Linked DNA regions of Drosophila melanogaster. The protein of the gene in region 4 interacts with the protein of the main gene of each other region in a pairwise test. Each region holds a gene or a part of one and is shown on either strand. Other genes may lie near its edges.

Region 1 (3,523 bases), on a different chromosome or scaffold from region 4:
GTATCGATGGTCTCCTCGTCCACGGACTGTTTACCCCCGAGCACCATGATGCGTAGTGGATTGCCCTCGTCCTGTTCCAGTCCCAGCTCCTGTTCCGCGTCCTCCTCCTCCGACAGAACATCCTCGTTGGGCAGGTACTCTTTCTTGAAGCTGTCCACAGCCAATGGTTCTGCGCTGACCCCTTGGAACTCCTGTTCCTCTCGTGCTAGTCTGCCCAGTCCCGTGACCGTCTTGGTGAGCGGTCGGCCCTGCTTGTCGAAGTGCACATTACGGATATGGCGGGCGAAGTCCTCGAATCCAAAGTGCTTCATGTCGCAGAGCAGGCAGACCAGTTGGAATCTATTCGCCTCCGGTTCGTAGAAGATCTCGCCGCATTTGGGACGCAACTGCTGCTGGGCGTGCAGGCGGACGTAGTCGACGTTGGCGAGGCAGTGTCTCAACATTTTCTGATTCTTATTTACATTAAAATTGTTGCAATATTATTTACCAAAATTAAAATAAAATATGTAAACAAAATTTCGATCGACTTCGATAGACATTTAGTGCAGACTCAAACCAGCACTGATTTCACAGCCATTCAGCTATGTTTCAAACCAAACTAACCGTTTGACCGAATAAACTACAAAATAAATTTTAAGTTCAAAATTAATTATATTTGATCTATGTATATTAAATAGCTAAGCAATATGCTCCTCTCAAGTGTTACCAATTTGTTACCAGACTCTTAGAAAGTGATACTGCCTGTTTTATTTATAAGGCACTTCAGTTGAAATAACGAATCGGTTACCCGGTTTTTTTAAATTTGAATATGACACAAAAATAAAATGTTAATTACTCCACTGAATTTTATGCAGTGTTAAACTCGCGCCGATGAAAAACACTTGAAACCACTCTTTTGATCTGCAGATCCTTCAGATCCGTGGTTTCGGTGGCTCGCTGGTTCCTCTGGCGGTGAATCCGCTTGTGTTGGGCGTAGCCCGCCGCCTGAGCGAACGACTTGTCGCACTGGGAGCACTTGAAGCGCTTCCCATCCTCGTGGAGCGTCCGGTGATGGTACAGGGCCCGCGAACTGGAGAAACCCACGTTGCAGTCGGTGCAAATGTGCCGCTGGCGTCGCTCGCCGGCGTCCAAGTGCCGCTCCAAGTGGCTTTTCAGCTGATAGCTGGCCGGGAAACGCGCCTGGCATTGCTGGCAACTGAAGGGCATTTCGCCGGTGTGTCGCCGACGATGGATCTGCAGATTCCAATAGATGCGCGTCCGATAGCCGCAGAACTCGCACATAAGTCGCCGATTATCGGAGCTGGCAGCTGGACGTTCCGCCGACATGGTCGGTCCGCGTGTGCCAAATCTAATCGTCGGCACTATTGTTAGACGCACCCCATCCAATACCATCTTGGCATTTGGCCGCTTTAGCAGCAGTCGACCGATTAATTGCTGTCAAAGGTACCAAATCGCTTGGCTAATTTTAAACGCGGGCTCTCTTTTGCGAATCAAATTCATGTTATGTATATTTATCAATACAAAAAAGTTAACCATTCGAATACTAGCCACATCCGGTTGCCGAGATTACGGCGTTCGATTTGGTTCTTGGAAGCATTGTGTGCTTAATGTATAGTTTAAACCTTAACAAAGTTTAGTTATTATTTGAGTTGGTAGTTTAGAAAATTCATGGAAATGTAGTTTAGTCTTAGTACTTACAATCGAGCCAATTAAATTTGCCTCAAACTAAGTTCACTCGAAACAGATTAACAAACTTTCAGTTTATCTAAAACTAGGGATATTATTTACAGTGCGTGTCAAATAAATTCGATGGAAACCCGTGAAACGAGGACCGAAGAGTCACATGATACCCGCTCCATGCCGGAGCAATGCAAAAAACCATTGATTTCTATGGTAATCCTATATATAGCCTATGCCTGAGTTCCTGAACTTAAACGTCGGAATTGGAAGATACAAAACGTACAACTTAGACTACGACCTCGGTGATCCGGATCCTATCCGTTGAGCTCGTCGTTCCGGTGCTTGCGCATATGTCCAGCGAGACCGGCGGCCTGGGCATAGGCATTCCCGCACAGCTTGCACACGAACTGCTTGGTGTCCGCGTGCAGGAACTTGTGGTGGTAGAGGCCTTTCTGTCGGGAGAAGGTCGCACCGCAAACGCTGCACACATGCGGTCGCTCCGTGGAATGCATGGCCATGTGCTCTCGCAGGCCGGAATGGGAGGGGAATCTTTTGTCGCACACTTGACACCCGAACGGCCGTTCGCCCGTGTGGCTCCTGATGTGGACGCGCAGCGTCTCCTTGTTCCGGCAGCTGTAGCCGCAGCTCTCGCAGACGAAGTTCTTTTGCTCCGTGTGCACCTTGCCGTGATTGCGCATATGACGGATGGTGAAGAAGCGCTTGCCGCAGCCGGGATGCGGGCAGGGCACGTTCCGTTCGCTGGTGTGCTTGAGCTGGTGGCGTTTCAGTTCGTGTCGCGTCTTGTAGCGCCGCCCGCAAACCACACAGGCAGCGCCGCCATGCGCCTGCACCATGTGCTCGTCCAGCAGGCGCAGGCGCGGCAATTGGGCCTCGCATTCCAGGCAGGTGAAGATGGCGGAGCCTCCTTCCTCGCCGTTGTCATGATCCCGCTTTAAATGCTGACGCAGACTGTATTTGCCATGGTAGATCTTGCCGCAGTGCTCGCACTTGTACTCCTGGGCAGCGGACTTGACGGGCGCATCCTTGGGCGGCTCGTAGTCCGCGTCCTCGCTGTCCACATCCGGCGAGAGAGTGTCTTTGTGCTGGCGCATTATGTGGCGTTCGAGGACCTTGCGGCTCTGGTAAACTTTTGTGCAGTGCGGACACGAGTGCGGAATCTTGGCAGAGTGCCTGCCTTCGCTGTCCAGATCCAGCTCCATGCCGCACTCCTCCTGCTCGGAGTCTTCCTCCTTGTAGTCCACCTTGAGGGCTCGGACTTGACGTAGAGATTCGCTGGTCAGCGACTGATGGTCCTGCCACTTGATTATGCTTCTGCCTGGCCGCTCATCTTCGTCCTCATCCTGCTTTTCCAGGACAACGCGCTCATCGTCGCTGTCCTCGTTGTGATCGCCACCAATCTCGTACCAGGCAAATGGATTCACCTGCGCCACAATGGGCACCGGCGAGTTAGGCTCCCGCTCACGATCCCGCTCCTGCTTGAGATTCGCACCGGCGTCCGTTGCCTCCGTCTTCAGCAGGCCGTTCTCGAAGTGAATGTTCTGGACGTGGAGCAGGAAGTCTCCGAACACAAAGCTCTTCATCTCGCAGAACGCACAGTCGATGCGGAAGCTGTGCAGGCTCTGGAAGTAGATCTCGCCGCACTTGGCGTTCGCCATTCCGGCGTACGTGTCCGGCTTGAGGGACTTGAGCATGATTGCGGCTCCCACCTGGCCGTTGCTCCCCAGGATTTGCTCCTTTTTTCGAATATATTCGCCGTTCTAATTGGAACGCAAACTTTTAGTCTTGGCGTCAACAGCTGTTTTTATTGGAGGTGCCACTGTGA
Region 2 (3,810 bases), on a different chromosome or scaffold from region 4:
TGGGTGGGTGTTTTTGTGTCCCAGTGTGCGTGGCCAGTGCGGGAGAGTTGAATTTCTTGAATTAATAAAATGTCTTCATTATTTAAATTGCACGCACGACCACAGAGGCGGAAAACCCGAAACCCAAAACAACCCAACCACCACTCAAACATATGTGTGGAGTCGCCTGACGTGCATATATCTATCCCCCAATGCGACTGTGTGTGTAAGCGACTGAGTTAATTAGCAGCTGGGGAATTGTGAAATGTATTAATATTGTACATTTCGGTGGGTCCAAATAACGAATAGCCGACCAAAAGCCTTGCCAATAAACCACAACAAGCCGTGTCGCAACATTCCATTTCCCACTTCGACGGTCCTTTTGTGGTCACAATGTCGCAATGTTGCTATGGTATGGTGAAGTAGCGGTTCTTTAACTTATTAGAGCATAGATTTCTGATCATAAATATTTGGCATTCTTATGGGCATATCAATAAAAAAGATGTTACAATACTACCCCTAAAGATATGCTATATATATTGTCATTGTCATGTTACGATTTAAACGATAGTATCGATAAGCCGAAGAAAGATCACTCATAGATGGCGTGTTTGAATTTGAAGACAATATCAACAGGTGTGAGATTAAATTTCTGATTGGAAAACATGTTTAGTAATTTGATAGCATAATACGTTTTTAAAGTGTAACTAGTCTTATTAACCAGCTTTTCCTGGCAACAAAATGTGATACAGCTGTTAGCAACCATATGTTAACGTTGATAAAAAAAAAAACTTTTTACGAATGGCTTGACAAGTAAATGCAATAATCTGGTCCTACTCTTGCAATATATATATATATATATATATAGGGAATCCATTTTTCTAATATGGAACAACCAGGCAAGTATAATCTATACAAGCTGCGTGTTAGATGCCTTAGATCTACGAAAGTTATATTGCATATATGCATTTCACGATTATTTAAGGCCCCCGGTGACCTCGATGGCAGCCCCATTGACGTATGACGATTGCGGGGAGGCCAAAAAGGCAATGACCTCGGCGATCTCCTCCGGCTGACCCAATCGGCCCAAGGGGCATCGTTGTACCACCTCCTGCTTTACAGAATCGGGCACAACCGCTACCATGGGCGTGTCTATGTAGCCTGGCAGGATGCAGTTCACACGGATGCCAAACTTTCCGAACTCCTTGGAGGCCACCTCCGTGAAGGAGATCACGCCCGCCTTGGTGGCCGCATAGTTGGCCTGGCCCACGTTGTTCATCTTGGCCACGATGCTTGAGAGGTTCACAATGGTGCCGTTTTCCAGTTTCTGCTCGATCATGGCCTTGGCATAGGCCTGGGTAACCAGAAAGGTGCCCTTCAGATTGACCCCGTATACGTCATCGTAGTCCCGTTCGGGCATCTTGAGCAGATAACCATCTCGGGTTATTCCAGCCGAATTGACCACAATAGTGGGTGCCTGCTGGAATTTCTTTAGGGCCTCGGCCACCGAGAATTGAACACTCTGGGCAGAGGAAACGTCCACCTCCAGGGCGGCAGATCGCTCAGAGCCCAATTCCTGTACGGTTTCTTGGGCCGCCTTTAGATTGCGGTCAACGGCGATCACTTTGGCACCATCTCTGGCCAAAAGGCGGCAGGTGGCACGACCAATTCCTGATCCGGCACCTAAAAACTCCAGTTTAGAAGAGTCCCATATAAAGAGCAGATATCAAGAGAAAACAAACGAATACACACCTGTTACCAGGGCTACTTTTCCAGCTAGTACTCCCACTGACATGGCTCTAAAAATGACTTAGTAAACAGCAGTTTTCACTTGTTTTCTCCTCAACGGTCGTGCGACAACTATATAATCACTAAAATATATCGCCGGCCAACAGCTGTTCCAAAGCTGATTGGCTATGAACAAATGAAACATAAGTGAAGTGGTGGAAAGCTTTTTACCACACGATCGTTGTCAGAGCTTTTCGGTGGAACCATATGTTTATCAAGAAAAAAATGTAAGAGTCCAAAGATCACAAAAGCGCTTAAAAAAAAAATTGTGCTTTGTATATGAATTTTATGTTTGTTTGCCGAAACATAGTTTTAGGCTCGTTTAAAAAATACGTCTACGTCTCTGATGGCAACTAAATGGAAATTCATTTAATTTGTCATGTTTAAAAATATTAATATTTTCCATTCATTTTTGCTTTAAGGAAGGCTATTTGATAGCCAACAGTATTGAGTACGAGCAATACTCAATACTCAGCAATTGTTTTTAGCCCAGCGCCCAAAAGAGTGTACGTAAAAGTGTTGTATTTTCAAAATGTTTGTATTTATTTCCGGTCAATAATTTCACTGCAGTGGTATTAGGTAGTACTCCTCCAGCTGGGGAGTCAAGTTCGCACTCCGGACACCGCTATATCCAGCACTCCGGGCCAATCCAAATTGCCTTAGGAGCTTCTTGAGATATCTCTTGGGTATTTTTATCAGCTGTCTTCGGATTATCCGCTGCACCCTGTTCCATGGACGACTTCCGCCGCGGTGATCGTCCTCGGCATCCTCCAGCTGCTGATCCTGTTCTGGGTCATCCTCTTCCTCCACCAGATCACCGCCATATTCGTCCTTCTGCGTTTTGAATTTTGCCAACTGCTCAGCCAGCTGTTTTAGCTGCTTCTCGCTCAAACGACTGAGGTCAACGGGATCATTTTGAGCCCGCAACTGGAGTCTCGATCCACAGGCTTTGGCAGAAGCCTCCGGAATTGATGGTAACAAGATTGAAACCACGATCAGTACGATCATAAATCGCTGTCCAGCCATGTTTGTACTGAGCCCCGGGCTAAACAGCCGCTTAAATACCCGAAAATTGCCCCATCATTCGTCACGATCTGATCTCTTTGGTGATTTCGTCCCAAAAATGTGGGTCAAGTGCGTACTTTTCACAGACTTTTGTTTTTTCTTTGATTCTATGCCCATAAAGGAGATTGTACCAACTATTGTTTTTGCCTTTCTTTGCTTCTGAAGATCAACGATCATTGATCTTTGGTGCTTCATCGCTGTAACCTCCGATCTTTAGAGGGATGTTTTTTGAAAAATTGTATAAGCAATTAATATGAAGATGTAAATGAGCCTAAAGTAAATTGTGGGTAAGGTATGTACTCAGTTTCTTCAGTTTAATTCCTACCTTACTTGCTATTCGCAACTATATTTTAGCCCGTTCTTATTCTCTTATAATCTTATTATTTTGTTATACAATTTACTATTTTTATTATTAGTATTATTACCGCGCAAAGATAAAGTAAGAATGCAGTTTTGTTATTCTTGAAGGGCTTTATTTATCGTTTATCCTGCCGCAGGAAGTGTGGCAGTAGCAAGTTAGGCTACAATAAATTAGAAAAAAAAATTATCTTGCCGGAATGTGTCGGATCGTTGGATCCTGACCTTGAATCCTAGATCCTTAGACGGCGGTGATGCGATTGCGACGGTTCTTGTTGCGATTGCGACGATTCTTCTTGTTGCCGTTGCGCCTCCGGTTGTTCTTGTTGATTTTCTTGGCAGGCACTCGCTTGCGAACCACGCGACGCTTGGAGACGGGACGACTACCGGTATTGAGCATCACCTTCTGGCCGTTCTTGAAGTAGCGGCGGTAGCGGGGTGGGATGCGAACGCTGATCACCTGGCCGCGGCGGGCGCCTTTGCGTCGCAGACTGATATGGTTATTGCTTTGGGTGGCCTTGCCGCCTTCGACGGTGGCTCCGCCAGTTCCCTGGACCTCGTGCTCAGTGGTGACCACCTCGTATTCCTGGGCGCCAGCGGCCAGGGCGGCCTGCAGAGCCT
Region 3 (4,981 bases), on a different chromosome or scaffold from region 4:
CGCGAAATGCGCCCAGCAGGTGGTGTGGCCACAACGTGATGCTGCTTCTGTGATAATGGTTGGCCCCGTCCAAAGCCCGCCGGCTGCCAGATCCGGAGCTGGCCTGCCAATGCTCGGCACTTTGCATATAAACGCTCGCTAATGGACACCAAAGGTGACAGCAGAGCGCTGCTAAATTGGCAAACATTAAATTTGCACCTTCACAGCAAGCGAGCCATCGACCGCGAAACCGTGACAATTTTCGGCACAGCGGTGCACTTTTTCAGAAAGCAGGAAAATCATCGAGGAGATCTTCCATCTCTGGGTCCCAAAGACTCAGAACCGCAGTTCGTGGTGGAGCTGGAGTGGTAAGCCAGATTGCACTCAGCTAGAAAGAAGATCTCTGAATGGAGGAGTTTTGGGGAAATGGATTCATAAGCATCGTGTTAGCCGAAAAATGAGTATAATTACATCAAATAGGTGCATTTACCTTCGACATTGGGAACAACCTATATTACTGCTGCACTGCTTTCATAAATAAGCACTCATAAAACTAAATATTTATGCACTTAATATGCATAGAAGTGCTGTAAATTGCAATACATCTCGCCGTACCTGAACTTCGTAGATAAAGAACCAAAAAGTCAAAAATCATTTCGATCCTTATTGAGAAACCCGATTGAAATCCAATTGAGCGGCACGCTCGAGCTATAAACTTGCAGATCCCTATCCGCAGGCGGCATCTCAATCTTTTTGGCTTTATCACGACGACAACGACCAAGGCCACTGATCCACGTAACCGGGCGCATATTTGAGAGTCTTGTTCTTGGGGCATCTTTAGGACCCCTTTAAGTCAGCGCATAGAAGTAGTAGATGTCATGGAGGAGTACATAATTCCCATGCTTCGAGCTAATTACAAGTCCTCAAGCCGAGCCCAAATTTAAGGTGAATGCAATGCTTAGGTCCGATGGCCAGTTCGATTTGTGGGAAAACAATGAGTAGACGAGAGTTGTGCCAAAGACATTCTAGTGTCTTTGGTTGTGCCAATTCGAAATATTTGACTCTGCAGGTTCCTTTCAAATTTAAAAACAGAATCCCCATTGTTCATTTCTGAGTGTATATCGAACCGAACAGATCAGACCAGATATAGGAACGATCTTGGCTGTCAGACTTATCGATTAAGCCAAGATTAATGTTACACATTGGGCAGAAACAGACAATTAATTAGAAACCTAAACTGCTACAGAAACTACAACTGTATATTGATCGCAAGCCAAGTGGAGGAGATTGTTCGGATCTAATCTATGGAGATCTGCAGATGAACTCGATGGGGACAAGTTCAGAGCGGCTTAGACAATAAGAACCAGATCAGTTGGTCGCTGCCACATTCTCAACAAGCTCATCAACTCGCTGTTGACAGAGCTGAAAAAAAGTGGGCAGAACGTTGGACTTCTCTCAATAGGAATAATAAACAAGGTCCCAAAAAAATGTGTCCTTTAAAGCAAACAAAATGATGGACAATGCCAAATCTGATAAAGGCAACAGAGGGAGAAAAGGTGTTCAAACAAGCAAACCACGATTGTCTCAAATATTTTGAAGCCGCTACAAAATAGAACAAGAATCAAGAACACAGCCCACTGAACCGAACCCCGGAGCATTGACACAATCTGCAATCCAAATCCAAGTCCAAGCCCTAACCCAAACCCAAACCCAAGCCCAAACCCTTCCTACACCCGAATCGCCTTCCATCTCGCGCACAATTGCCGGTAATATGCTTTATTATTAGCCCTGCCAACCACTGGAGACGGACATTCGCAGTATGCAAATCCACTCAGCAGTCACACGCTCTAGTTTGAATTGTCTGCTTCCGCAATTCTTGATCTGCGATCCTCCATCCTCCATCCTCCATCCTCCATCCTCCATCCTCCATCCTCCATCCTCCATCCTCCATCCTTGATCCTTCTTCCTTCGCGATCGAGGATCCACGATCCAGTCGCTTCAGGCTGCCCCTGGCCCTTTTCTGCTTGATTGCCGACAGCAGTTGGACAATTAAATGTTTGAATATCTCCCATCTTTGTCCATTCGCAGCCCCTATTGTAGAAATTTCTTGACACTTATCGCACAAAAGGCAATAACATTATTAATGAGCATGTCAATGAGCTTCTTTTGTCTTCACCATTACACTTTTTCTGGTTCTCCTTGGTCCTCCTTAGTGGTGTGAGTACGAACTCATGGGAGTTAAGCTTGGTCCTTGATAGCTGGGGATAGTTGGGCCATTTCTTCGCAACAGATTTGTCTTTTTATTGTTGGTTTTTTGTTTTGATTTTAATAGTTTGTACTAAGTATTTCAATTATTGCTAAAAATATTATTAAATTGTATAATTTCAGTCTTTAATTGGTTTGGTTTTTATAATGCAATTGTTTTCGGTATTAATCTTTTATTTGCGATTTATTTTGACTTACAACAACCATCCGACAAATTTATGGAAATTATGCAAAATGGTTTTTATTCAATTAAGCCTTTAATATATATATTGCTTGTATTTATCTATTGTTTTAGCGTTTGAATTATGTGTCCAGCATCTCAACTTGTTGTTGTCTCATTAATTCAATGAATAAATGTTTTATTTATTCTCTTAATATGTTTTGTTTGTCAGCAGGGAGACTTAGCCATTTTTTAATAGCATAAGCTCATATACAACAAAATCTTACCTTTTCCAGATCATATATTTCCACAACAGCATAAATTCGATGTTTTTACCAACTCACTATTTATTTATTTTTTCCTCTTTAGATGTTAATTTTTCCAGTTTTTTTTTTAACTTCACACACTGGGATACGTTTGAATGAAAATCAACTGATTATATCAAACACACTCTTCACATGACACCTTAAATCCGAATTATCGCTGATGATATAGCGACGGCTTTCGAAGGAGATTTCAGCAATCACGTGGCGCACATAGTGCCGAAAAACTTCGCGATCGGTCGGATATAATGCGATTGCGAGAGCGAGAGAACAGCGAAAGCCTGACTGACGGTGCTTGGCAGCGTAGCGTCCATCCGAGACTAAATCGTCGCCGTCGTTCTGAGCGCCAAACAGACTCGAACTGGCAGCGCGGCCCTGGCCTCAAAGATCATCTTACCCCAGCAGCAGCAGCATCTGCAGCGCGGCAGCACGAACAGCAGCACTAACAGCAACAGCAGCGGCAACAAGACAACAAAGCGCACGCGTCGCTAGATTGTGTGCGTGCGTTTGCAACAGTGGCAGGGCACGGCGAAACTTAACTGTTAATCGGCGGCCGTCGCTGCAGGAAATCCTGTTTGGCAAACAGCTGCTGTGGCGAATGGTGCGCGTGCTCCGTTCTGCCGGTTTAACAGCAATGTTATGGCGGTAAGATCTGTTGACTGAACTGTTAACGAAACAAGATTTGTTATTTTCGGGAGAATTTTAAAACAATTATATTAAATATATATTATTAAATAATATATTAAAGATATTATTGACAAGTTAGTACCCTGAAAAAATGCAGTTTTTTGTTTCTACAACGCTAACTGAAATAAGTCAAAACGCATTTATGTATATTAAGAGTGCTAACATTTTTCTCCAAGTGCACCCTGCTACCGACCTCGCTTCGAACATGTTTGCTGTACGTTTCCAGCTCGGTTCGCGACTCTCCGCTCTCCGTAAATGTTAAAGCGTCGCATCTTCTGAGAGCTGAACTGTGGTTGGCTGTTGGCACCGGCACGATCTCCAAGCGTTTCGTTCGTTTCCATTGAATACTGTGTCGATGCGGTTGGCTGTTGGCTGATGTCTTTTTACCCCCGTTTGACTCTACACACGGTACTGTTATCATTTGAGTGTATTGGCCGCGAGAGTGTTGGCCCTGGTTTGCTTCGTTGTGCATGTGCATCCAATTGAACTCGTATTGGACGACTAATGTGGCAAGGAGGTGGGCACTTAATGCCCGGCGATCAGTGTAAACAAACATTGGGAGAAACCAAGAAAACATCAGAGGTTATTTGTGGCTTGACCTGCAAAATGGAGAAAACAAGTTCGCCTCCCTAGTCTTTCGTATATTTAAATATTTTTATGTGAATCTTTGTCGGATTGATAACGATTGGAGATGACCACATGGAAAACATATGCATAGATGTTGGTTTATTCTATCTGGGGGCACTGCAGAATTCTTTTAGGTTGAATACAAAATTCTGCCACTAATGGTATATATAAAGCTATATTCTTGTGAGCGTAAATAAAATAAAAGTTGCATGAGATTGTTTAACAAGGAATCAATTTTATTAGGGCTAAATGGTATCCATTTAAATACATTCGATACGGTACTTCAACAACAATTGCAAAATAATCAATGCTAGTTCTGTGCTGCTTAAATCGGATTGCCACCAGGCGCAAAATTGCCAGTGGAACAATCAACGCGTTTCCATATGTCTAATTGAATTCTCCTGTCATAAGCATGATCAGATGACTGCCTTCGTGCGCCGAGATGCCCACTAAAGTGATCCCCGGGCATTTGACCAGTCGTTGTCTGTCCCTCCATCTCAACTCATCTCAGCTCAGACTTAGACTCAGGCTCAGGCTCAGGCTCAGACTCCCGGCTTCTGTCACTTGGTGATGATGATGATTTCATTTTAATAACACCACTGGACGGAAGAAGAGTGCCACGGCGGAGATCGTTTAATACTCTGCATTCGCCGCGGCCGTGTCAACACCACTTGACGGAGTAACAAGGAAGCGCAACACTCTAAAACGACGTGTAATTTATCACAGCCAAAAGCATTTAGCCATGAACTGGAACGGAGACTCCGATTGCGACTGCAACTGAATCTGGCTAGTTTCTTGGAGTAGTTTCCTCTGGCTCTGCCTGTCAGTATAGTTGTCGTCATAATCTGCCAAGTGGCGATGCAGCTCCTGGAGCTGCTGCGGTGCAATTTGGTCGTCATATTAAAATTTCTTCAGCTCGTGGGCAATCTGAAATTTTCCC
Region 4 (4,558 bases):
GGCGCTTTAATATACAATTAATTCACATTCACGATAGTTGCTCACATCCTTTCAATCACTTTGTGCAGAAGCAGCCGGCAGTTACGGTGACCGTTTTGAACTGCCAAGGTTGATCCTTGTTCATCCACGAATAGGGGTGATCGGACTGAGAGGTCTGTGCCAGGACCTTTACCTTATATTCCAGTGGCCTGCAATTGGATCCATGCGAGCACTTGGCCAGATCCCGACCAGCGCCCGATTCGCAAACGGCATTCATCAGAAAGCGAGGGAAGTGCAGACCACCCAGATCCACGAGCTCATTCTGGGAATAACAAAATAATTATAAACATCTGACGCGGCTGAATGGTATCCCAACGAACCGTAACTTTGCAGTCGCAGCCTGCGGAATGGACATCATTGCGTTTGGTGGTCACCAGATCCTCATAGAAATCGTTATAGTACATGGGCGGCAGCTGATGGGGCATGACCATCGCCATCTCTGTGGGATGTGGAGTGCTGGGACTGAATCCGAATAGGGCACTGAGCATTTTCGATGTACTGCGATCGGGCTGCTGCTCCTCCGCGCGGTGTTCCAGACTCCTTAGACCCACCATCTCGTCCAAACCTTCATCGCTGGCGTACTGACTGGCGATTCCTTTATTTGTCAGGCTAAGCAGCGCCATTGCCATAATGGAAATGGGCAACTTGGAACGGAAGGGTTTTAAAATGAATTCAGTTCGGAGTATATCCTTGTGCGCCCTCCTTTGTAATTTCGTTTCTATATCTTTCGGCTCTCATCCAGATGAAACTTACCCACGGCATCATGCTCGATCTGTGCCTGACCAGCGCTGTACTCCTTCTGCAGCTCTGGCCAAGGAGTCGCCATACTTTTATATCCATTTAGGACAAAAGCCGCCTCTCGGATTACCTTTTGTGCCAGAGATGAGAGCAGCAGCATCCATTACGGTTCGTCACCTGGACAGGATGGAACAATGGACTCCACAGTTGACACCACAACAATGGCAAGCCATGCCAAGCTCAAGTGGCCCGGCTGATGGGGTTGAGTCCCTCGGCTATTTATACTCCTCTGCTGCTTTCAATGCTTCAATGGGGGAAATGGCTTTAAGGCCTCAAGTGCCGGCAGAGGTGGAGAACTTTGGGCGGTGGGAGTAGCCAAAAGAAGCCCACTGACCCAGACATGTGTGCAGAGGCAAAGGGCAATCCGATCTCCTCCCATCGATAACGTTGACCAGGGTGGGTTTCTGGATTTTTGGTTTCCGAAACGGCTCCGAAACTTTTTCCATAGCATACTTTTGAGTGAGGAGCTGTGGGAAATGCAATTCCGATTGTATTTTACTTGTCGGATTTCCCCCAAATGGATGACATTTCCGTTTCATGGTCTTGTTTAAAGAATATTGTTTTTATAATGTGCAAAGGCAGATGAATGGTAAAAATAGTGGTTTATAGTCTTATGTAGAATTCTTAAACATTTTCCAGCTATGCACATCCTCCGAAGGCACCATGAGTTGCCATAAATTATGAGCTCACTATGTCTCCCACTTGGGCCAGTTTGGGTGAGGAGCACCGCCACTGGCATAACAAGCCCGGCTAGAACGACTGTCCAAGAGGCTAGACCGGGTCAGACCTCTTAGGCACATAGTATATACCCCTGTTCGTAGGGAGCCCGCGAGTGTGCGAGTGCCAGTGGACTGTGGTCGACTTCTACGGCTTCTGTCGACGGACAGCACGCACTGTCACTGTTCCCCGTGGAAATCCAAAATCCTCCTCAGTCGAATTCGCGTCGTCGAGGCAAGAACAGTGCCCGTGCCACAAGGTTGGACATGCACAGCTGGACAATCTGACATCGCTTAGCCATCAGCAGCTACATAGGTTCGAGCAAGGGAAGTCGGGACTTGGAATCGGAATCAGAATAAAAAACCAGGAGCGGAGGAGATGCAGATTCCGCTGGTGGGCGACTTATGCTGAGCTCCGCAGCTGCCTGTCTCCAAAGACTTCATCCGTGCTTTCGCCGTTGTTGTTGTGCAGTTTTTCCGCCGTGGAATTTGTCGAAGCGGAAAAGCGAGAAGAAGCAGCGACGCGAAGCCCTCGAAGTGTCGACGAAAATCGTTAAAAAATAGAAAAACACACGGCGACTATGTCACGACGCGCTTGAAGAGCCCCATCCTCGCTGAGGGAGATATTGAGATTGAGCGGGATCCACACCTCAGTGGCCACTACTCGCCACCCACTCCGCCAACGTCAACGTTCACCAACAGGAAGCTCAGGATTCGCATGGACAAAGGCACAATGAAGCGCAAGCAGCGGAGATACAGGTATAGCAGATACATTCGAAATGTACATATATCGCGGTATAAATCCAAAAACTGGACTAGTTTCATAAGTATCTACTAAAGCTATAGGTGCACTAACACTAGTTTTCCTAATGATCCGCAGAACCACATTTAACACACTGCAACTGCAGGAGCTGGAAAGGGCGTTCCAGCGGACACACTATCCGGACGTGTTTTTCCGAGAGGAGCTGGCCGTGAGGATCGATTTGACGGAGGCGAGGGTGCAGGTGTGGTTCCAGAACCGGCGGGCCAAGTGGCGCAAGCAGGAGAAGATCGGTGGGCTTGGCGGAGATTATAAGGAGGGTGCGTTGGATCTCGACGTGTCCTACGACGACAGCGCCGTCCTGGGCCAACTGGATAGTGCGCTGGGTAAGAAAGGATATCTCTGTTACCTATCAACCCATCGCTAGTAATGACCCATATTGATTTCAGGCGGCGGTGGAACTCTATTGCCGGACACCCCACCGCAATCCTCGAACTCCCTTGATAACGAACTTAAGGCCTCCTACGGCACGGGGGCCATGTCGCCCTCTAGGCTGTCACCGAATATATTTCTCAACCTCAACATTGACCACTTGGGACTGGAGCGGGGTGGCAGTGGCCTCTCCATGGAGTGGTCCACATATCCTCCGCAAACGCAAGCGCAGACACACCCGCAGATGGACTCCGACAATCAGCTCCAGCAGCACCCGCCTCAACAGCATGCATCCGATCCGATTCACGCCGGGAGTTCGAGTCATCACCAGCAGCAGCAGCAGCAGCACCAGCAGGAGCAGCACAATCCCCAGCTTCATCCGGGGCTTGAGTTTGCCGCCTCATTGAGTTTGGACATGACCGATGGCTCCTCCGCCTACGACGAGATGAAGTTTCTCAGCGTGGACGTGGACCAGTTCACGATCGACAGCTTCAAGGCGGACTGCATTCTGAGCATGGAGCAGTCCCAGATGCAGGCCTACGGCGGTCACTCCCAGCTGGTCGGATCATCCAATGAACTGTGCCTGGACGGGATTGGCATGTCCTCCTTTGGCATGGAAGAGGGTGAGCCCAAGTCGCCTCCCTCTCTTTTGGTGCTGGACAAGTCGCTGCCCTCTTTGAGCATAGGCGTGGAAGGAATCGCTGATCTCGTGGAGCAACTGCATCATCACCAGCATGAGGGCGGCCCAGTGGGCGGTGGTGTCATCACTGGCGATGTCATGTGAATCCAACTTAGGCGAATTCTCAGTTTCTCAGCGGTAAACTGAAGTGCGAAACCTGCTCTAGTTATATTCTTGTTTTCTAGTCAATGTTAATGTCTAAGTTCAAGACCCAACAAGGTCGCCACACTTGACTACAAATATTTGGATGGTTAACTTACAAAAATTTTAGTACTAAATACTAGTTTATCTGAAGTTGTATTACTTTAGTCCTGGAAATGTGTCTTGATAAATAGCAAAGTGGTTTACATAAAGAGAACCTGTAAGTTTATAACATTTGAAAACAACGAGAATTGTTGAAAAAGAATATTTTTCGTAGTGTACATTTGTGAATTTCGAAACATTCGAATCGAATCGAAACGAAACGGAACGGAACGGGTCCTTGACTACGAGCACGGGTACCTTTTCTGGCCAGGCTCAGCCATAGCTTCTATGGATTCCGCATGTGTGTGCCAAACAAAGGAACCCCCCCCCCCTACGCCCCTGCCACGTCCCCTACCCTCTGCACACGCCTTATTTGTGGCTCGGATTAGAGGCAAGCTAGTTGTGCGATTTGAATGGATTTCGGCTTCCAGTGCTGTTTGTTCGGCAATAACATTTGCTTTGCTTTTTAACAATTACCAAAGACCGCTCCACGCTCCTCCCTGACCTGCCCACTGGTTGGCTGTAATTTCCATTTACTCCTATTAACGAGGATTTCTGTAGCTCCTGATCCTAAGCATCCTCAACGAACAACTCCTACGCTCCATTAAGTGAAAAGCTCACAGCAGAGATGATAAATATGGTGAAATTTAATGAAATTGTCAGTTAGTTCTAAAGTACTACAATAGATATGCTATTCTCATTACACGGCGAGATCCAGATCACATGAGGGCATCTCGCTTGATTAAGACTCGTCCGGTTTGGCCAGAAAAGCTGGCTGGAATTAAGCCAGAGGCTTGAGGGGAATGGAGCGGCGAAAGGCCCGACAGAGGTAAGGATTCGATGCTGGGGGCACCCGGCTCAGCTGGCTTAACACCTTGGCGAGCTCCTTGT

Evidence for each region.
Region 1: the proteins of Pph13 (region 4) and CG15336 interact in a two-hybrid assay, tested with the Drosophila melanogaster proteins (one large-scale study listed by BioGRID).
Region 2: the proteins of Pph13 (region 4) and CG3603 interact in a two-hybrid assay, tested with the Drosophila melanogaster proteins (one large-scale study listed by BioGRID).
Region 3: the proteins of Pph13 (region 4) and eg interact in a two-hybrid assay, tested with the Drosophila melanogaster proteins (one large-scale study listed by BioGRID).

Annotation. Positions count from the first base shown.
Region 1 is NC_004354.4:8,145,818-8,149,340, reverse strand, and holds CG15336 (uncharacterized protein), read right to left. Parts: upstream 1,393-3,523; 5' UTR 1,327-1,392; coding exon 847-1,326; 3' UTR 636-846; downstream 1-635. Other genes in the region: CG10959 (uncharacterized protein), read right to left, coding at 1-443; CG2129 (uncharacterized protein), read right to left, coding at 1,995-3,392.
Region 2 is NC_004354.4:2,946,070-2,949,879, reverse strand, and holds CG3603 (uncharacterized protein), read right to left. Parts: upstream 1,847-3,810; 5' UTR 1,775-1,846; coding exon 1,732-1,774; intron 1,663-1,731; coding exon 956-1,662; 3' UTR 760-955; downstream 1-759. Other genes in the region: CG17959 (uncharacterized protein), read right to left, coding at 2,329-2,775; CG14423 (uncharacterized protein), read right to left, coding at 3,431-3,810.
Region 3 is NT_037436.4:21,806,948-21,811,928, reverse strand, and holds the start of eg (eagle), read right to left. Parts: upstream 3,227-4,981; 5' UTR 3,125-3,226; intron 3,091-3,124; exon of another isoform or gene 2,692-3,090; intron 1-2,691.
Region 4 is NT_033779.5:575,722-580,279, forward strand, and holds Pph13 (PvuII-PstI homology 13), read left to right. Parts: upstream 1-1,764; 5' UTR 1,765-2,271; coding exon 2,272-2,312; intron 2,313-2,433; coding exon 2,434-2,699; intron 2,700-2,762; coding exon 2,763-3,529; 3' UTR 3,530-3,828; downstream 3,829-4,558. Other genes in the region: Ptth (prothoracicotropic hormone), read right to left, coding at 56-301, 360-683, 793-879.